Xenopus tropicalis: one gene and its partners. The protein of the gene in region 3 interacts with the protein of the main gene of each other region in a biochemical or structural test. Links are inferred from orthologs where the notes say so. Each region holds a gene or a part of one and is shown on either strand. Other genes may lie near its edges.

Evidence for each region.
Region 1: the proteins of peli1 (region 3) and ube2v1 form a complex in vitro, tested with the Homo sapiens proteins (3 studies listed by BioGRID). The link is inferred for Xenopus tropicalis from reciprocal best matches to the Homo sapiens genes PELI1 and UBE2V1.
Region 2: of the proteins of peli1 (region 3) and irak4, one has a biochemical effect on the other in vitro, tested with the Homo sapiens proteins (4 studies listed by BioGRID and IntAct). The link is inferred for Xenopus tropicalis from reciprocal best matches to the Homo sapiens genes PELI1 and IRAK4.

What each region holds. Positions count from the first base shown.
Region 1 is NC_030686.2:36,460,598-36,465,438, forward strand, and holds the start of ube2v1 (ubiquitin-conjugating enzyme E2 variant 1), read right to left. Parts: upstream 3,132-4,841; 5' UTR 3,034-3,131; coding exon 3,012-3,033; intron 1-3,011. UniProt on the Homo sapiens protein: Has no ubiquitin ligase activity on its own. The UBE2V1-UBE2N heterodimer catalyzes the synthesis of non-canonical poly-ubiquitin chains that are linked through Lys-63.
Region 2 is NC_030679.2:64,416,651-64,421,272, forward strand, and holds the start of irak4 (interleukin-1 receptor-associated kinase 4), read right to left. Parts: upstream 3,132-4,622; 5' UTR 3,054-3,131; exon of another isoform or gene 3,043-3,053; intron 2,604-3,042; exon of another isoform or gene 2,506-2,603; intron 1-2,505. Other genes in the region: pus7l (pseudouridylate synthase 7 homolog-like protein), read left to right, coding at 4,438-4,622.
Region 3 is NC_030681.2:32,546,954-32,551,737, reverse strand, and holds the start of peli1 (E3 ubiquitin-protein ligase pellino homolog 1), read right to left. Parts: upstream 3,205-4,784; 5' UTR 2,928-3,204; intron 1-2,927. UniProt on the Homo sapiens protein: E3 ubiquitin ligase catalyzing the covalent attachment of ubiquitin moieties onto substrate proteins. Involved in the TLR and IL-1 signaling pathways via interaction with the complex containing IRAK kinases and TRAF6.

The DNA of each region.
Region 1 (4,841 bases), on a different chromosome or scaffold from region 3:
AAGATGGCACTTGCCCTGCCCACAAATACTAATGGGCACAGTTTTCATTGTCCTGTCCTACCACGACACAATTAATTCTGTCAGTGGCACAACCTGCTTTTTCAAAAAAGACTGCCCTGCCCTTGGCCATCGGCTGCCAAAAAGACAGGTGCTAGCACAGCAAGACCCCTTTGTTACCTTAATTCAGGAACGGTCGGTGCGATACAGAAACGCTCGACCATGCACTCCCCCCCCCCCCTTTGGCATTACCCTAGCCGAGAAACTGCATTTGTCTTTAAATAAACGAAAGCAAAAGAGAAAGGATTGCATTATTAAAGAAAAAGGAACCAACAACCTGCAACTTGCAGTATCTACATTACAATCCCGAGCATGTATGGATAGCCTGGAGGTCTTTTAGTATCACAAACTATATATTAAAAAAAAAAAAACTGCTAAACCTCAAGGGAAAAGCTGTGAAAGTTACAACACTTCCTATTCGGAAAGGGGGAGGGTGAAACCTGTTGAAGAGGTAAATTCCCTGTTAAATTAAATTACCATGGCATATAGCAATGAAAGCATACATATTAGGAATTAGTTTTTATCCATAAGGAGACATCTAGGCTTGTTGAAATGGCAAATCAAGTTAGTTGCTAGTAATATTTAGAGTGAAGACACACAGAGCTACTAGTAGCAGCTACTTGTCACGGCTACTAAAATAGACAATGCTGATCATTTACTGATAATTGTCTCTATGTGTGTTTTAGCAGAGGCAATTCTCAGTATTGTCTATGGCAGGGGATTTTCTGGAGTTTAATAGCCATGAGAAAGTAGCTGCTACTAGTAGCTTAGTGTGTCTTCACCCTTATACAGGACCCAAACAGTTCTGTTTAACCTGTCCAAACTGAGGCTGAGATTCATGTTGAGACCAGACAGAATGGTCACTTATCTACCAGCTAACTGTACTGCCCAGACTTCAATCTACCTAGAAGGAAGTATTCAAGGGATTCCAGGGCACCTGAAAATAATGCCCTGGGGGTGCAGGACATTGCACGGGCACAGACTGGATGTCTAACATGACAGAATATTAATATGAAGTTATGTATTGTGCTTCCTATAGTGCCCCAGGGAACTAGGGAAGGTGCCAGTTTGTGGCCATAGGATACAGTGCATTAGCTTGATGGAGGCAGCTCCCAGTGCGGGCAGCCATGTTGTTTCCCACGTATGCGATTCACCCTCCTATGTCACAAGCATGCGCATAATGAGCGAGTTGTGGCAGGTACTTGGGGAGCTCGCTCCTGGTGAGGGCAGTCTAGTGCTGCCGGGGGCTTAAAAAAAAAAAAAAAAAAAAAAAAAAAAAAACTACTGTTTCCCCTAAACTGAGTAAAGATGGCCATACGCTGGCTGATTTCAGCTGCCAATATATCAGTCCTTTAGATCCAATGTGCCTGTGTATGGGCACCAACAATCTCCCTGTTTATCTGCCTGTGTATGGGCACCAACAATCTCCCTGTTTATCTGCCTGTGTATGGGCACCAACAATCTCCCTGTTTATCTGACTGTGTATGGGCACCAACAATCTCCCTGTTTATCTGCCTGTGTATGGGCACCAACAATCTCCCTGTTTATCTGACTGTGTATGGGCACCAACAATCTCCCTGTTTATCTGACTGTGTATGGGCACCAACAATCTCCCTGTTTATCTGCCTGTGTATGGGCACCAACAATCTCCCTGTTTATCTGCCTGTGTATGGGCGCTAACAATCTCCCTGTTTAGCTGCCTGTGTATGGGCGCTAACAATCTCCCTGTTTATCTGCCTGTGTATGGGCGCCAACAATCTCCCTGTTTATCTGCCTGTGTATGGGCGCCAACAATCTCCCTGTTTATCTGCCTGTGTATGGGCGCCAACAATCTACCTGTTTATCTGCCTGTGTATGGGCGCCAACAATCTCCCTGTTTATCTGCCTGTGTATGGGCACCGACAATCTCCCTGTTTATCTGCCCGTGTATGGGCGCTAACAATCTCCCTGTTTATCTGCCTGTGTATGGGCGCTAACAATCTCCCTTTTTATCTGCCTGTGTATGGGCACCAACAATCTCCCTGTTTATCTGCCTGTGTATGGGCACCAACAATCTCCCTGTTTATCTGCCTGTGTATGGGCGCCAACAATCTCCCTGTTTATCTGCCTGTGTATGGGCACCAGATCTTGATCGGGCAGGTTTGATTCTTCTGTCGGACCGGGGACCTCATTGATGCAGTCACTGCACTAACGGTGCCTATGCCCACTGTTTTAATTTGATAATTTGGCCCTAGGGTGGGCATATCGGGAGGAGATCCACTCTATGGGCGCCCTCGCCAAGCAAGCGTTTCTTACAGTGTAAGGCCACCTTTAGGCCACACTACTGATGGGGAAACAATTAGAAACTGAATGTAGTGCCTTTTTCTCTAGTCCTGACTGCACTATTAATCCCCTGGTTTCTGCTACATTGCTTCAGGAGTCAGTACCAGCAGAGCACATAGAATTTTCATTTGCCTATGTGGCAAAACCCAGTGGAAGTCAGTGACTATTGGGACGTTGCTGAGTAATTCTTCTGCAATAAATCCTGTTTGTGGGCGGTGTTCCCCTTTAAACGTGTGGCCCTGCAGCTGTCAAACATGTCTGATTGCCCGGCATTAGTAAGGGAGAGCCCAGGCAGCCCTCTGCAGCCGCCCAGCCCGGGGGAACAGCAGTGCAGGCAGGGCCGAGTCTTGTCACTGGCGGATTGGGAGCTGTAACACCTAGTGCTTCCCTCCCAGGCCTCCGGGGGCAGCTGATTCCGCGCTACCGGCACAAGCAGGAACCCGGGGCTCCTGACAGGGCAGAGCCGTGCGGAGAGGTGCGAAGGCCCCGCAGCAGCGCTACCCGGGCCAAGGCACCGCCCCACAGTACAGCAGGAACCCCAGAGAAGCCAGTTCCTGGCCGGCGGTGCAACCTGCCCTCAGCAAGCCCTCCCCCCGCTTCCCTGTCCCGCAGCGCCCCGTCACCCAGCTCACCCGAGACCGTGGTGGCCGCCATCTTGCCTTCGCAGTGCTCCTGAGCCGGCCTCCCAGTGACGCCACACAGGGCGGGGAGCTTCAGCCGGCTGTCAGGCAGGGAGTGGGCGGGGAGAAAGGGCTGACTCACACGCACCATAGAGACGGGAAGAGGCGGCGTCAATACGTCATTACGTGCTGCGTCTTGCGTCATAAACGAGACTGACATGCTTCATAAGGGAAATGTATGAATAGGAAAAGTGTAAATGTGTCAAAAATGAGATAGATATAAAAAAAATAAACTAAATGGGCAAATATATGGCCCAGGTATGTACCTATAGCTAGCTTCTGGGAGCAAAATGTTTTTTTAATCTCTAGGCCTTGTCTTCTTATATTGTATAAATATGTTTGTATTTTACACATTACAGTATGATGGTACAGCTTATTGTGTGATTCTAAATATGTCCAACAACTCACTGCAGAGAAAGAGAGGCTCAGGTGCACTGCCCAAGCCTTTAGCTAAGGGAGTGGATATCATGTTTTTTTTGAAAAAAACTCACTGAGCATATCGTGAGGCAGAATTCTTGATTAAAAAGTAACTTCATTGGAGCTGCCATATTGTTTCCTTTAGTACAGTACAGTATGAGGGTACAGCTTATTGTGTGCCCAGAACATTCCTTCTCTGTATATTTGTATTTATACATATGGGAGGGAGGTGCCATAATGTTTCCCTTAGACAGTACAGTATGGGGGTACAGCTTATTGTGTGCCCAGAACATTCCTTCTCTGTATATTTGTATTTATACATATGGGAGGGAGGTGCCATATTGTTTCCCTTAGACAGTACAGTATGAGCGTACAGCTTATTGTGTGCCCAGAACATTCCTTCTCTGTATATTTGTATTTATACATATGGGAGGGAGGTGCCATATTGTTTCCCTTAGACAGTACAGTATGAGGGTACAGCTTATTGTGTGCCCAGAACATTCCTTCTCTGTATATTTGTATTTATACATATGGGAGGGAGGTGCCATATTGTTTCCCTTAGACAGTACAGTATGAGGGTAGAGCTTATTGTGTGCCCAGAACATTCCTTCTCTGTATATTTGTATTTATTCATATGGGAGGGAGGTGCCATATTGTTTCCCTTAGACAGTACAGTATGAGGGTACAGCTTATTGTGTGCCCAGAACATTCCTTCCCTGTATATTTGTATTTATACATATGGGAGGGAGGTGCCATATTGTTTCCCTTAGACAGTACAGTATGAGCGTACAGCTTATTGTGTGCCCAGAACATTCCTTCTCTGTATATTTGTATTTATACATATGGGAGGGAGGTGCCATATTGTTTCCCTTAGACAGTACAGTATGAGGGTACAGCTTATTGTGTGCCCAGAACATTCCTTCTCTGTATATTTGTATTTATACATATGGGAGGGAGGTGCCATATTGTTTCCCTTAGACAGTGCAGTATGGGGGTACAGCTTATTGTGTGCCCAGAACATTCCTTCTCTGTATATTTGTATTTATACATATGGGAGGGAGGTGCCATATTGTTTCCCTTAGACAGTGCAGTATGGGGGTACAGCTTATTGTGTGCCCAGAGCACAATATTTTATATTAAGATTTGTCGTATACATATGAGGAGGTACCATATTGCTTCCCTTAGCACATAATAATCTATACCCTTATACACTGCTGTTTAAGGGAAACAATATGGCAGCTCCAGTCCAAATATATAAATATGAGAGAGAAGGTTCAATGCGCATTATATCATATTCTCTAATCTTACTCTCCATTTGTAGTAGAATAAGCAAGGTTTGCACTATATTTATTTTTTCCAGCAGGG
Region 2 (4,622 bases), on a different chromosome or scaffold from region 3:
TCATTGCTTAGCAGCATTCTTTTTACAGTGGAGGAAATAATTATTTGACCCCTCACTGATTTTGTAAGTTTGTCCAATGACAAAGAAATGAAAAGTCTCAGAACAGTATCATTTCAATGGTAGGTTTATTTTAACAGTGGCAGATAGCACATCAAAAGGAAAATCGCAAAAATAACTTTGAATAAAAGATAGCAACTGATTTGCATTTCATTGAGTGAAATAAGTTTTTGAACCCCTACCAACCATTAAGAGTTCTGGCTCCCACAGAGTGGTTAGACACTTCTACTCAATTAGTCAACCTCATTAAGGACACCTGTCTTAACTAGTCACCTGTATAAAAGACACCTGTCCACAGAATCAATCAAGCAGACTCCAAACTCTCCAACATGGGAAAGACCAAAGAGCTGTCCAAGGATGTCAGAGACAAAATTGTAGACCTGCACAAGGCTGGAATGGGCTACAAAACCATTAGCAAGAAGCTGGGAGAGAAGGTGACAACTGTTGGTGCAATTGTTCGAAAATGGAAGGAGCACAAAATGACCATCAATCGACCTCGCTCTGGGGCTCCACGCAAGATCTCACCTCGTGGGGTGTCAATGATTCTGAGAAAGGTGAAAAAGCATCCTAGAACTACACGGGAGGAGTTAGTTAATGACCTCAAATTAGCAGGGACCACAGTCACCAAGAAAACCATTGGAAACACATTACACCGCAATGGATTAAAATCCTGCATGGCTCGCAAGGTCCCCCTGCTCAAGAAGGCACATGTGCAGGCCCGTCTGAAGTTTGCCAATGAACACCTGAATGATTCTGTGAGTGACTGGGAGAAGGTGCTGTGGTCTGATGAGACCAAAATAGATCTCTTTGGCATTAACTCAACTCGCTGTGTTTGGAGGAAGAAAAATGCTGCCTATGACCCCCAAAACACCGTCCCCACCGTCAAGCATGGGGGTGGAAACATTTTGCTTTGGGGGTGTTTTTCTGCTAAGGGCACAGGACAACTTATTCGCATTAACGGGAAAATGGACGGAGCCATGTATCGTGAAATCCTGAACGACAACCTCCTTCCCTCTGCCAGGAAACTGAAAATGGGTCGTGGATGGGTGTTCCAGCACGACAATGACCCAAAACATACAGTAAAGGCAACAAAGGAGTGGCTCAAGAAGAAGCACATTAAGGTCATGGAGTGGCCTAGTCAGTCTCCGGACCTTAATCCAATAGAAAACCTATGGAGGGAGCTCAAGCTCAGAGTTGCACAGAGACAGCCTCGAAACCTTAGGGATTTAGAGATGATCTGCAAAGAGGAGTGGACCAACATTCCTCCTAAAATGTGCGCAAACTTGGTCATCAATTACAAGAAACGTTTGACCTCTGTGCTTGCAAACAAGGGTTTTTCCACTAAGTATTAAGTCTTTTTTTGTTAGAGGGTTCAAAAACTTATTTCACTCAATGAAATGCAAATCAGTTGCTATCTTTTATTTAAAGTTATTTTTTCGATTTTCCTTTTGATGTGCTATCTGCCACTGTTAAAATAAACCTACCATTGAAATGATACTGTTCTGAGACTTTTCATTTCTTTGTCATTGGACAAACTAACAAAATCAGTGAGGGGTCAAATAATTATTTCCTCCACTGTATGTGCTGAGTATGGAATTTTGCTGCATACCCTACTGCTTCCATTCCACCTTATCTCATTTAAACCTAAGTTGTTCAACTTAAAGCTGCTGAACTGATAAAAAATGTGTCATACATCAACAAAGTAAAAACTGAAAAGGAATCAACTTTCTTGTCCTTTAATGTGGGATCCCACCCGCAACTTGACTAGGCAGAAAGTGGCAAGCATGGTTTTAAAAGGTTTCTGCAACCTAAGGCTGATGCCACACATGGCGTTTTTACGCTGCGTATTTTCTAATTCTCTCGGTGGCTGAAAAACGCACAATGTCATGATCCATAGAAATAACTTGAAAAGACTCGAAGCAAACCACACAATGCGTAAATACGCTAGAAAACGCCTAAACCACGGAATTTTCAAGCGTTTGCCGAAATACGCCAGTATTTGCACAGCAAGCTATTCCTATGTATACTCAAAGGCAGCTGCCAGACCTAGCGGAAATACGCGGCGTTTTTTACTATTTCGCACTATTAGCACCATGGAAACGCAGAAAATACGCAGCGTAAAAACGCCACGTGTGGCATCAGCCTAAGCGTACCAGATTCCCCCCTTCTCCTTTAAATCCTGACTGTACTACATGAGGTGTTGTTCCATAAGTCCACACCTTTTCACACATTGCAAGGGCCCAGCTAAGAGGTTTTTACCGTGACTGTATTCTACTCGATGAGTAGCTGAAGCATTGCTGTAGGCCAAGATAGGGTTAAATTTACATAAGGCATAGACCTATCCTTGTAGCTGAGGACAAAAGACACAGCTCTCTCAAGCTCAACTGCCTGATGCATTCAGTACCATTTAAGCAGGTATTATTCTGCGCCTGTAGGGAGTATACTCACCAGCTATGATAGATACTGTAGCCCTGCCACTCAGGCACTCACAGGTACCCAGCGAGTACAGAAGTACTGAGCACCTAGGCGCTGTAGTGCTGGAGGCAAACGCCACACAGGCTAGTTGCAATGAGTCCTATTACTGCCCTGTAACTTCTAATTTCCTACTTCTTCTAGAACATTTCCGCATCCTCTTTCACTTGCACAACACCAAAAACTCCGGTTACCAGGCATGCCAGAGACTTCTGAGTTGCGGCTATAACACGCGTGCGCAGTAACGCAAAACGCCGCTCTCCTGTTCTAAGTACAGCGAAGTAGTTGCTTTTTCTATCTGCTAGAAACTATGATCAGTACATCCTCCATGGCACTACACTGATGGAGCCACGTTGTTTATTCTGGCACCCATAACCGCATAAATTAATCAGACCTGTAGGCAAAGAATGAATGAAGTTACACACATAACAGCCAGGCAGTTCAGTATAAACTAGTGCAGCCTAGTACGTATCTTATTACTAATGAGAGGGAATAAGCCGTAACACAGCTCAGTGAGAAATTACACGAAGTAGGGCAGGAAGGATAGTGGGTGGAGTTAGAGTTGTGGCGTCCGACAACGGAAGGAGGAAGTGACTGCGCCATGTGGGTGAGCGGCTGAGTGCTGCTAATGTGTTAGGTTACCTGTTGCGGTACAGCGGTTGCTGAGCTGAGGCATGTTAAATGTTCATGTCTAGATATGTTGTTAGCGTACGGATAGCTAGAAAGAGGTCTTATAGTGCTTATTTGTCAGCGTTTGGAGCTGTGTAGGTGGCAAGAGACAGAGCGAAATGGGCGCAAGAAGCACTGTCTGTGGTAGTCTGGCCAAACATACACACAGTGAGCACAAGAAGGAACATATTTATGGAAGGAAAACATACATCTGGCCTTGGCCAGCCAAAAAATAATATAAGACTTTTGTGAGCAATTGGCCAGTGGACAGACATGACTTTTTGAGAGAGAATGTTTGTGTTTATTATAGGGAGCTGCCAGGCACAATTTGTGTGTTCGTCAGTTATCCTCAATTCATCTTTTAGTTTTACAGGAAATCCTTAGTTTCTGGCATGTATTAGGGATTGGAATTAAATATAGAATTATTGGGTAAGGATCCAAAACAGAAAAAAAAATATTCAAGCAGTAAAGGTACACACCACATGTTTTGGGCATAGCCCTATATCAAGTGTGAAGTGAACAATACTATATAGCAGGGATCCCCAACCTTTTTTACTTGTGAGCCACACAAAGCATGATAAAAGTTCTTTGGGGATGTCAAATAAGGGCTATTATTGGCAATTTGGTAGCCCCATGTGGACTACTAGCCTGCTGGATGCTCTGCTTGGAATAAAACTGTGTCTCTGTGCTTCCAGAATTTGCCTCCAAGCCAGAAATGTAAAAATGGGCATCTACTTTGAGGCCACTGGGAGCAACATGTTTTTCACAAGCAACTGGTTGGGGATCACTGCACTGCAGGTATTTAACCTGTACAAGCCCCTCCTCTTGATTCCAATTGGCTTTTAATAGTTGAGTGGAAAAAAGGCCCCAGTGTACAAGGCCTTCAGTGTGAATCGTAGTCTATTACAAATCCAATGTTCATAGTGTCAGTAGTCCGAATACAGTATTTATAGTTGATATACAGTGACGTTACTTAAAGCACATATCACTAGCCATAACCTTAAAAACAGATCCAATGAAATGGCTATGTATTATATAATCAGTACTGATCAACAGTAGAGGCACATGGTGAACATCCACAGTGACTTCTCCTATGAAGTTATCCCCTCCTTGGGGCCGCAGAGGACAATATTCTTGTAAAGTGTACACCTATGACTGTTATTTTTGGAGGTTTTGCACTAATCTTTCCTTTCACCCAGATTTATGTATTATGTACTTTCAGGTTTATAGATTTCTGAAATGGAAACAGAGAGTCTGTCTCCCACTGTTTTTGGTTCTCTCTGCTATGTGAGTGATCATAGAGGATTTTTTGGAACAATAAAAAATTCTTCAGCTGATTTTGTGGTAACAGAAATTGATGTCTCTGGTCAATTAGTTACAGAAGTGCAAGCAAGACATGAAAAATCAACAGAAAAATCCGAAAG
Region 3 (4,784 bases):
GGAGGTGCCAAAGGGCTAAGATTGTCTATTAGGTAACATCTATGCACACTATCAGCTTCCAGGGGGGCTTTATTTGGCAGTACATCTTGTTTTTATTCAATCAAAACTTGCTACCAAGTCAGCAATTCAAAAATAAGTACCTGGTTTGGGAGCACTGAGAGCAACACCCAAGAGGTTGGTGAGAAACCTGTTGCTCACGAGACACTGGTTGGGGGATCACTGTACTAGACTGTACAAATGTTGACATTTAATCAACTTAGTAGAACACATACAGTATGTGGAAAAAGTACAGTTACTATGGGTGGGTGATATCGGGCGAATTCAGGCTAATTCGGTCGTTTGGCGAGCCGATGCGGTCCCCTGATCTGACTAAATTTTTTAACCTGCCCAATCAATATCTGTCCAATTTCAGGCCAGATATCAGTCAGGCAAGGCCTGTCGTTGGTGCCCCTACATGGGCGAATCAGTCTAAGGGACGATATCAGCAGCTAGAATCGGCCCGTGTATGGCCACCTTTAGGGCTCTGGCACACAGGGAGATTAGTCGCCCGCGACAAATCTCCCTGTTCGTGGGCGCCTAATCTCCCCGAGTTGCCTTCACCTGCCATCCCACCGGCGACAATGTAAGTCGCCGGTGGGATGGCACACGCGGCGGCGCTATTTCGAGAAATCGCGAAAAAGACTCGCGAGGTTCGGGGGGGGGGGGGTTGGTCGCCCGCGAACAGGGAGTTTTGTCGCGGGCGACTAATCTCCCCGCGTGCCAGAGCTCTAAGTGTGCAACATGTACACAGTAATAACAAACAGAATGAGTACATGAGCCCAGACAAATACGCTTGGAGGATTAACTGTATGAGAGAACAATGAACTAAGCTCACAGAACTGCTCCCATGCCATAATACACAGCTGGCCCAGGAAGGCTCCAACAACAGAGAGGAAGCTCTCATTTTAACAAGGGGAGTGGGAAAGAAGAAATGAAAAAAAGACATGACTGGGTGGAATGCATACAGGAAATTGCTTAAAAAGGGGGAAAAAAAACCCAAGGCATCAGTATGACAAGAGACAAGCAATGCTGCCAAATAAGACTGAATTAAGATTCTCCATGAATGGGACAAGACAAGGGACCTTGTGTTTGATTACAAAAAGGAAGATACCACAAAACGATAAACAGTACAGCCTCGAGCCATATCTGTATATTTAAAACAGGATCAATAGTAACCAGCTTTCTTATAAAACGTAATGTCCAACCTTACATATTAACTCCTATGCTACCAAAAATGGTACAATGACATGTATATTATGTTCTCTGTCATGTGGTCATATACAATTAAACTTGAAATGTGGAACAGATTACACAAAGCTACTATAATGCTATCGGTTAATAAAGAGTATATGCATACAAAGCAAGTAAACAACCAAAGGTATTTGTAGAAACAGACTGGGAGTTGAGCAGTCTCAGAAAAACACCAGGCAGTCTGTGTGGGTTGGAAGTGTGCGTGGGGCAACAGCTGCCAAACAAATATAAAGACCCAAGGAGGGTTCACCAAAGGTGGAAGGGAAAATAATGCCACAATCTAGCATAGCAAATGCTCAACAGAACAGCAATCTTCATACTAAGGCCTTGTGCACACTGCAGACCAAGTGTGTCCAATTCATCTAGTGTAAAATCTAAAATCACCTAATCCAGCTGTCTTGAGATTTAAATCAGTCAAACTGAAAATTCAAATAAAGAGAAAAGTATTCAGACCCAAATAAAAGCATGGCCATTTAGATTAAAGAGGGTGCACGGCTGCCCATCCAACACTGCAACTTGCAGGATCTTCTCTCCAAATTGGCAAGAAAAGAGGGTGCAATGTTGGTGTTTCTGGCTAAAGGTGGCCATACACGCACCGATAATATCGTACGAAACCTCGTTTCGTGCGATATTTGGTGCGTGTATGGTATGTCGGCGAGTCGACCGATATTGCAGGAAGCTGCTGATATCGTCCGACTCGCTGATCGGACCAGTTGGAACATTTTGATCGGGCGCCATAGAAGGCGTCTGACCAAAATCTCCCTTCAGCGCTGAATCGGCAGAAGGAGGTAGAAATCCTATTGTTTCTACCTCCTTACCTGCCGATTCAGCCCTGAATGGTGTGTGGTGGATCTGACGATGTTTCGTGCGACCGATGGTCGCACGAAACATCGTCAGATCGTCACGTGTATGGCCAGCTTTAGTCAGAATAATTTAGAGCACAATACTCAAAAGATACAGATACAAAAGATACCTATGAAGAACTAGGCCTCGCTCCTGCTACATATTGTAAGCCAGATGGTCCAATGAGTAAGATAAAATGATAATAATTAGATGACTCTATTGCCATAACCTCTCAGATCAAGTCCAAGTGACAGAGAGAGTTGCAGCAACCAGAACAATCTGACCAACATTTCCACCAAAACTCAACTCCTTTCACTACCATGGAAATTGGCAATTGACGTACATGAGCTTCCCATGCAACTGAGAGGATATGATTCACAATTAAACCACGTTAAACGTGATGTACCACAGACATCCCTGCACAACTAGCGCACAAATGTGTACATTAGGCCTGGGATGGTGTCATGCTGATTTAGTTGGTTAAAGATGACAGCGAAATCCAACCTGATGCTAAACAGCTATTGATGAATTGCAGCTCCCAAAGCCCCCCACCCCCAGGCAGGGTGTATGTGTGTGCAGCCCCCGGGATAGTGACGAACACTCCCCCCAGCACAGGCTGGAGTGCCGCAGGTTGGCCATGCCCGGTCTAGCGCACCCTTTCCTTGCCAGCAGTAAAGCTTTATAGCAATGTGGCGATCACTGGGTTACGAGGCGCGCACCCGAGGCAGATTACAACTACACAAACGGGGGGGGGGGGGGGGGGGGGGGGGTAGATGTAGGTTCTCACGACTTACATAGCAACCGGGCCCCCGCACACGATTTTCCGTATTCCTTTCGCCTCCTTGTAAACCCAGCTGGGCGCTGAGGGCGGAACAGAGCAGCACCTTGCCTTTACCCCAGGCAGTGACCGTGTAATGAATAAAAGCTGGGAATATCCCCTCTCGGAGACCACTTCCTTCTACGCCTCCGCCTCTTCCTTTAGCGAACAATAACTGGATCGTTCCCGTTGTCTCCCAGCTAGAAGCAGCGATTGCAGCAGCAACAACGCTTGTGTGAGGCGCTGGGAGGCGAAGGAATGGCTAGGCTGTGACGTAAGCAAGCAAGGCCGGAGAGGCACGGCTTGTTTGCCGCAAGGAACTATGGGATGTGTAGCCATAACTCTGTAGGAAATACAGCAGAGGGAGTGTTGTTGCTTTATAGTGTGTAGGACAGCAGAGTAGCTTACCTCAATCAATGTATTTCTATGAATTATTAACATTTTAATCCTGAATCTGTAAATAAGGGTAAGGGGTTAGTTTGCCTGGTAAAGTAATAATTGTTCACAAAACTATTTCAAACTATTTCAGATTTACTAGCAAGAACATTCATTTAGGGATACATATAGGCAATACATTAGGGCATGTGGGTTAAGTTGGTGCCCTGTACTAATGTATTTAGTAAGGGGGAATTCAAAATACTTGTGGCAAGGTGTCTGACCATATAGTGGTGTAAAAATTCCAGCAGTATCTAAATTTTGATAGCCACAATTTAAGTATATTGCAATATATGGACAAACAACCCCTGCTTTGCTTAAAGGGGAGGGCATATCTTGGTAGTTTAATGCACAGAATGTCTTAACCTTGACAGCAAGCAAGTTGCATGTAAAACTCAGCCCCTTTGTTAAATGTATATTGAAGCAGTAGTATTCTTAATGAATCAGATAAAAGTTAGTGTAGGACTGGCCAGACCAGGGATAACTTTGATGCAGTTGGCCAGCTTGAATGTATTACATTTATGGACAAACAATCCCTATTTTGCTTAAAGGGGAAGGCTTATCTTGGTAGTCTAATTCGCAGGATGTCTTAATGTCCTATATATATATATTATATATATTGATAATGGGAGTGCAGAGGACCTCTTGTCTGCATGAATTTTGTGGTCACAGCCTCATTGTACCCCTGCCTAATGGTTTAAAATTTAGTGGTAAGCCCAACCTTTTTTTTTGCTATAGTTAATACAGGAACAGTGGCCAGCTCCATCTTGTAGCTCCCACCCTTTCTAGTTACAGTCTAGTCAGGTGATCCCAATGGGTTAATAAAAGGGCAACAATTTTTGGGGGGTTTTAACCTTGAAAGCAAGTAAAGGTGGCCATACACGTAGCAATTCCGATCTTTCATGTAACCAAAGATCATTCCCACCCTCCACTGACGTTCAGGGCTGAATCATCAGATATGGAGGTAGAAACAATAGAAATTCTACCTCCACCTGGCGATTCAGCCCTGTAGATTTTGCTTGGGCGCCTTCAGTGGAGCCTGATCAAAATCTTTTAACCTGGCCGATTGACAACTTGACTGATATCCACAGCCTTTTGCGATATCGGTCGCCTCTTCGAGCCGTAATACACGCACTGAATATCGGTGTGTGCATGGCCAGCTTAAGTTGTAGGTAAAACTCAAGCCCTTTGTTAAAGTATATTGAAGCAGTAGAATTCTTAATGAATCAGATAAAAGTGAGTGTAGGACTGGCACTAACGGTGCTCGGTGTGGTTTGTCCTTGAAGAAGAGCACTGTTAGTGCTCGAAATGTCGGATTTTTTTCAAAGACCCTGTGTGTGCAGCTCTATGCTTCTTTATATATATATATACAGTATATATATATATATATATATATATA